Linked DNA regions of Rattus norvegicus. The protein of the gene in region 1 binds, or shares a complex with, the protein of each later gene. Links are inferred from orthologs where the notes say so. Each region holds a gene or a part of one and is shown in the gene's direction. Other genes may lie near its edges.

Evidence for each region. Proteins that work in one complex are often made in the same cells at the same time.
Region 2: the proteins of Pdpn (region 1) and Clec1b are in contact, whole or in part, in a crystal structure (PDB 3WSR), measured with the Homo sapiens proteins. The link is inferred for Rattus norvegicus from reciprocal best matches to the Homo sapiens genes PDPN and CLEC1B. Residues at the interface, in NP_006465.4 of Homo sapiens: Ala46, Glu47, Asp48, Asp49, Val50; in NP_001380271.1 of Homo sapiens: Arg107, Phe116, Arg118, Arg152, Thr153, His154, Leu155, Arg157.

What each region holds. Positions count from the first base shown.
Region 1 is NC_086023.1:160,916,043-160,920,365, reverse strand, and holds the start of Pdpn (podoplanin precursor), read left to right. Parts: upstream 1-1,406; 5' UTR 1,407-1,643; coding exon 1,644-1,710; intron 1,711-4,323. UniProt on the Homo sapiens protein: Mediates effects on cell migration and adhesion through its different partners.
Region 2 is NC_086022.1:164,536,959-164,539,969, forward strand, and holds part of Clec1b (C-type lectin domain family 1 member B), read left to right. Parts: intron 1-234; coding exon 235-330; intron 331-1,620; coding exon 1,621-1,746; intron 1,747-1,889; coding exon 1,890-2,041; intron 2,042-3,011. UniProt on the Homo sapiens protein: C-type lectin-like receptor that functions as a platelet receptor for the lymphatic endothelial marker, PDPN.

The sequences.
Region 1 (4,323 bases):
ATAATCACACACACACACACACACACACACACACACACACACACACACACACACACACACCAACCAGGCCATGGGTGCCCACACACAAGTGCACACATGCATGCATCTTCATGGGGACTCTTAGGGAACATTCATTGTTAAGCTCTCTGTAACTTTTTTTTTTTTTTTTTTTGGAGCTGGGGACCGAACCCAGGGCCTTGCGCTTCCTAGGTAAGCGCTCTACCACTGAGCTAAATCCCCAGCCCCAACTTATTTTTTTTTTTTACATTGTGTGTGTGTGTGTGTCTGTGTGTGTGTGTCTGTGTGTGTCTGTGTGTGTGTGTGTACATGTGTGAGCTGTCTGGTCAGAGGGCAACATTCAGGAATCAGGTCTCTCATTTCACCATTGTGGGTTCAGAGCATAGAACTCAAGTCACTAGGCTTGATGACTAAGCCTTCTCTGGGAGTGGGGAATTGGGGGGGGGGGGAATCTTCAGATGCTTTTGTCGAAAGGAATTTATGGCATCTGGGAGTGGAGCCGAGACCACCCCCAACCCTGCTCTTAAGTTCCAGCAGGTTAGAAGGGAACACTTGCTTATACCCACTACCTGAGAGCAAGGAAGGATTTTTTTTTTTTTTTAACCAAGAGACGGGGCATTACCAGCTAAACCCTAGGATTAAAATAGATGAGCTGAACTCTTAGTTCCAGGTGAGTGGCTGCTAGTCAGGTGACACAGCTGCTCCCGTCTCCAGGTGAAGCCACAGTGTCCCAGTATCAGGAGGTCTCATGTGCTCTGCCTTTCAAATCTGTGTAAGTCGCTAGGGCCAAGAACTCTTCAAGGTCAAACACCCCACCCAGACAAGTACCTCACAAAGCCAAGTACTGCACTGGGGGCCAGCTGTGGGAGGACAGGCACCCCACCATCCATGCATCCACGTGCCCTGGATGAGGGCTCAGTTAATTAACGCGAGCCGCCTCAGACTCACACAAACAACGGCTGTTTTCCTTAAACCATCAGATTCAATATTTACAAAAAAATTAAAAAGCCAATGCGTCGTCCTAAAACCATAAAACCAGCCGCACAGGCCACTGTGTGAGTCTCCCTTCTGCCCAGTAACAAGAAAACCTAAGTCGTGTGCCTTGCCCTTCAAAGCAGAATAGTAAAGATAGTAGAAAAATAAATAAAAATTGTAAAACAGAACTGTGTATTGCATCTGTCCCCCCTACCCCCCTTCTCCTGTAGTGGAACAAAGTCAAACGCTTTTTTTTTTTTTTTTTTTTTGGCCTGGGCTGGGCCCCCAGTGGCTGAGGCCCTGTAACTTTAAACCTGGCCTGAGGTCATCTTGTGATGCTGGCCAAACAGAATTCGGGGGCGGTCCTAGATCTCCGGGACCACCTGACGCCCACCCGCCCCCGCCCCCGTACTGGAGACATAAATTGCCGACTGTGCTGAGAAGTTGCCAGTTGCCAAGTTTGCTGTGCTTGCTCCCTCCGCTCGCATTGAAAGCCCGGGCACTCTCTGTCGCTGGGACTCTTGCTCACCGCTTGCCAGCCTCCTCCAGAGCTCTTCTCGGCTGGGCCTGTGGCTTCGAAGTTTTTTTGTTTTTTCATCTTTTCACAACCCACAAAAACCACTAGCTGCTGAGGCTCCAACGAGATCAAGATGTGGACCGCGCCAGTGTTGCTCTGGGTTTTGGGGAGCGTTTGGTTCTGGGACTCAGCGCAGGGAGGTAAGCGCCACGCCTGATTGGCAACCCCGCACTTGCTGATGGGGATGGAGGGAGGCGGGGGTTGCTTGGGCCTGGGATCTGGAGGTGCCGGGGAGAGCGGTGGGGCAGCTTAGATGGGGCTTAGAAGAGTCCCCGGGAACAGCCCAGTGGGTGTGGCAGTAGAATCGGGATCCACAGGTGATAGGAGTACAGAATGGCCCTTACCCCCCCCCGGGGGGGGGTCTAATGGTCCGGGATGGGAGGGTGACGCCAAGGGCGACTGGACTGGCCCAAAGAGCAGTGCGTTAGCGGAATGGTTAGTGTCTCTGAAAACTAGGGACAGGAGAGCATAGGTTAGAACTCGGGGTCACACCCTAACTGGGGACAGACCTGAAGAGTCTTCGCAAATTAGGGTGGTAGCTGGAAGGGGCGGTGAAATAGATTGAACCACAGCTTGAACCGCACACTGCTGCCTTTATAGCACCCTTGTTGTCTGCCTCGTTCTTTCTTCCTCCCCAAACCCCTGCACTGGAACCCAGGGCGTCCAGCCTGCTAGAACGCCACTGAATGTACCCCCCTAACCTGGAGGGTTGCTGTGAGCACTGAAGGGCATGTATTGAACTTGGCCAAGGACTCAAAGGCTGAATTAGTGTTAATAAAAGACCAGTGGAGCTTGAGCATGTAGTTCAGTTGGCCGAGTCCTTACTTTGCACGCATGACGCTCCCCTGTTCCATCCCCAGCAAGTATAAAAACCAGTATAGTGATGCTCAACTGTGTGATGGGAGCCTTTCAAGGGGCATGAGGGGTTTGAAACCGGCCCAGACTTTTAAGACCCTGACTAGAAAGAAACGGAATGGTGGGGACCACCATCAGATCCTCCTCTTCTGTCTTCCGTTCCTCTGTCTGCTGTGATGTATGGCTGGGATCTGGGACCGGTCCCCATTATTTTTATTTCTTGCCTGGACGTTTTAAGTTGTGTGTGTTTCGCTGGTGGAATCTAAGCTCTAACCTCGATCCCGGGGCCAAAGCATCATCTGACAGTGGCACTTGCTCAGTAAATACCGATTGAAGGCTCTAGCGGTCTTCGAAGGAGCGGTCTGTGTGAGATGGGTGGGCCTAGCTAGCCTAGGCTTCTATAATTCTCCACAGACAACACCTACCTAGTGTTAGGGAAATTATATAGAGTGCATTGGGTGGGGTTGTCTGCTTCAAAGAGACGAAGCTATTCTTTAATGGTGCTCGGGGCTATTCCCGGCAGTCCTATCTTTGAAACTTCTCCTCGCGCTAGGATATATATACAGTTCTGTATTTCGGTTCCATTTCCGCGGTGGCGAGACAGTGCACGTTAAGAACATGACTTTTCACTCACCAGCGCAAATCGAGGGGAGGCACCCACCCCAAACCACATCCTAGGAAAGCCAGAGGCTGGCTAACATCCTCCTAAGGCAGGGTAGAGTGCTCCTAAAATGTAGCTGGTATTTGGTCTTGTCTAGAAAGGCGTCATCCCTCAGTTATACCAGAAACTGCATAACAGAAGAAAGAGGCTTGGTAACGGGATGTCCAGAGGGACGGCCATGTGGCCAGTTGTTTGCAGGCTGCCCTGCTGCAAGGTTGAGCCTGCAGTGTTTTTGTCTGAGACTAATGAATATGGATGAGTAACTCCATTGAGTTAAGCTATTACTGGGGAGCCAGACCGGGGGTGATTGTGTCGGGGGGTGATTGTGGCGTGCTAATTCTTCTGTTACAGTCGTGCACCATACTGACTTATAATCCAACCCCCCTTGCAACCTCCGAAGTGGACTTTAACAAGGCCTGTGTCCTCTCATCTGGCATCGCCCTCCCCCCTTGCCCGGCCCCACCCTCACTCTGAACTTTCATCCAGAGCCGGTACCCCAGGACTTCCCCGTTAGACATTGCTTTTTATACAATTCCACAAGCTGCCGCTTGCCGCTAACCCACGGTGCTCTCGCTAACCCATGTGTGCTCTTTCCGGGACCAGTCAGAGCAGGATTAATCACGTGGCAAAGGAATCATCCTGTGATTTCCCTGAAGTTCTTGCCAGTTTCGGGGGCCCTGGAATCCTCACAAGCTGCTGAGAGCTTATGTGGCCAAGGAGGCCTTGAATAAAGCTGGTTCTGTTTGAGTTTCTGTGGGGGGAGCTGGGGCTTACGATCCCAAACCAAGTTCAGAGGGAGGGAAACGTCTAATGTGTGTAGAGCAGCAGAGGGCTGAGTGTAGCCACAACCAACAAGAAAGACAAAACACAGCCCACCATTGACTTGGCACTGGGACACGGACAGACCCAAGTCTTGAGGGAGAATGGCCCCGACTAGTGGGCGGGACACCCCCACCTCTTTGCCTTTCCATCCCCCACCACATTCTAGGAATGTCACAGCTTACCTCATTTAATCCCTACCACTCCTGTAAATTATACCCTCTTAACTCAGAAGCTGCTGGGACCGTGATTTAGAAAGTAAGTCAAGCCTTTTACTATGATTGACCTTAAGGGGAAAAAAAAAGATGACTGAACTTGATACTGCAGATGGAGTTCACTTGCAAACATGAATTAAAAAAAAATTACACACTCCCTATACTAGAATGGATTTGGCATGGTGCATTAAAATAGATTGCTT
Region 2 (3,011 bases), on another chromosome or scaffold:
CCACGTTTTGTCAGGCTTTCAGACAGGATCTCAAATAGTCTAGACTGGCACTGAATTTGCTATGTAGTCAAGACTGGCTTTGAACTCTTGATCCTCCTGCTTCTATGTCCCAAGTGTGGGTAACTTTGCTCTCTCACACATAGCTTGCCGTAGTGTTTACGATACTTAGATAATCCTGAGATGCCCAGGATAGCCTGACAGTCTTCTGCTTGCGTCTTTTCTGTCCTTCCACAGCTGAGCCTGCCTCTTCTTGGTGGCGTTTGACGGCTTTAATTCTGCTGATCTCAACCATGGGGCTGGTTGCTGGACTCGTGGCTCTGGGGATCATGTGTAAGTACTGGCTCCTTGCCAGGGTTTTGATCCAAGGAAAACAATAGCCACGAGTTCCTGGTGTACTATACTAAGCTTCCTAAATGTTTTTGCTCCTCTGTTTGTCACCTATTCTGATTGTCCTGAACACTGCTGTGGACATAGCCTCATAGGGTGAAAACTCAGAAGGGAGAGACCTCCCCTCCCCCTCCCCCTGCTCTTATTCAAATCACCTTTAGTTTTTTTCTTTAGTTAAAATTACTTTCAGAATGTATTGCTGGCATTTAAGATTCCTCCTTACTATGGATCCAAGCTATCTTTCTCCCTCTCTGCCTTGCTTAATCTGAGGCCTGAGCAATCTAGAATTTTCCTAATTTCAAAAATAAAGCCTGTGTCTTCCTATATGAAATCTTGCTTGTTCTAGTCTATCTATATAAAATCCACTCCATCCCATTTTATTTACTGACACATTGGTTTTCTGATCATGACTTTCTAATAATAAAACTTTATAAGGTCATGTCATAATTTGTGTTGCTAATTTGTTTATCTTCCTGCTTTAAATACATTTTAGAGTCCCTTATTCCTTATGTTGTTTACATGGATCTGAAAGCATTTTAAACATTGTAACATTACTTTTCTTAATTTAAAATGTTTCATAAGGAACTTGGAAATAAGAAACCAGGCAGCAAAGCTAATCAGACTGCAAAGTCTATGTATGTATCTACCTGAATTTCTATCCAAGGGGTTCTCAGCCTTCCTAATGCTTCGACCCTTTAACTATAGTAACCTCCAACCATGAAATTATGTTCATTGCTACTTCCTAACTGTAATTTTGCTACTGTGATGAATGATAATGTAAATATTTGATATGCAGTATATCTGATATGCCACCTCTGTGAAAGGGTTGTTTGACCCAATGGGTTACAACCTACAGGTTCAGAACCACTGTTCTACATAGTTAGAATAGTCATCCAAACATACATTTTTAGGAAAATTCAGTGTTATATTTAGAACAGAATACAAAACACAAGGCTTCTCATCACTATAAAGCCTGCTTAGAAACCTGTCCAGGAAATATTGAAACAGCTGCCTCAGTCACGTGTTCTCACCTCGGGACTCTCATAGCCAGTCGATTCCCACGCTCTTTACGCAGCCCTTTTAATTTCCTTTTTCAGTATTCATTGAGTTTTTGTATCTGGTGAACTCTTTAGCTACCGGCAGGTTTATAGACATGAAAGTTCACACAAGAATCCTGCCATTATCTTTCTGACCTTGAGACCCAGGTATAATTTATCTCATCTCTACATCTAGCAGTCACACAACAAAAATATCTACTGGCCGAAAAGGAAAATCTCTCAGCCACTCTGCAACAATTGGCCAAGAAATTCTGCCAGGAGTTGATTAGACAATCAGAAATTAAGACTAAGAGCTCTTTTGGTAAGTCTGGCTTGGAAACATCTCTGATGTGCAGCACACATCTGTCACGGTAACTAGAGGGAGGCCCACCGGAGCAGGAATGCTGCAGGTGGGAAAAGCTTTGGCCAGATTTTTGACAGCCCCATCCTCGGTCTCACCTTCAGAGCACAAGTGCAGCCCCTGCGCCACAAAGTGGAGATACCATGGAGACAGTTGCTATGGGTTCTTCAGGCGTAACCTAACATGGGAAGACAGCAAGCTGTTTTGCTCTGAGCAGAATGCAACTCTTGTGAAGACCGCCAGCCAGAGCACGCTGGTAAGGAGGGTCCTATGTCAAGCATTTTGGAACACTAAGGAGAAAGATTGCAAAGGAAACACGGAATCTACTTTACTTTTTCATGTGATTCTTAATGTTTTGCACTGTGGGCTCCTCTGAGAACTCGAGGAAGCTTGGTAAGAACTGCGGAGCTTAAATATTCAATCCAGAATATCGCTGAAGAGTTTCAGTAAGATTGAATTGTTGTGGACCGTCATAACAGTGAAAGTGGACACTGGCTCAGACACTGGATGAGACTGCCCGGGATGTTCCCATCACACTTATCCCAGTTTGCCTGACTTGCTTCTCTTTGCTGTAAGACCAGCTCACAGAGAAGTTTAAAAATTAAATTAACTAAATAAACAGACTCAGTCAAAACAGGGGAGTGCTCTAGCACATCAAACTCCATCATAAAGGGATCAACTGGAGGCACTCCAGGCTATAGCACTTGAACATCTGTAATATAACAAAGAAATGATATCATTTTTTAGACAAGATTAAAGTTAAGAAGTAATATCTTTTTGAGAAGACATTAAAGTTAAATATCAGTTGGATTTTTCTATCAAGTCCCAAAGAGGCATCTTGGGCAGTGAGGATATGTTTTAAACAAAAGATCAGCAGTTAATGAACCAATGGAAAGCTGGTGGGTGGCTCACACTTTAGGGAAGTAAGATTTACAATACCTCCAGTGGACTGTTATTCTGATGGTCACGTCTGTCGGCAAGCTCGAACCAATTGTTGTCATTGATTTCCATATGTGGATTCTTACCTGCTATCCTGCAATGCATAAAGGCGTTATGAACACATGGCTTCCTTTTGCTTTTCTTTCTAAGAGACTGATTGCCCATTCATCTAATAGTCAATCAATGTATACCAGAACCACTCCAGGATCTGAATCTATTTATACTCTATAAAACTGAAATGCTCTAACTTAAAACCCATCAACCAACCAACAAACAAACTAAATTAT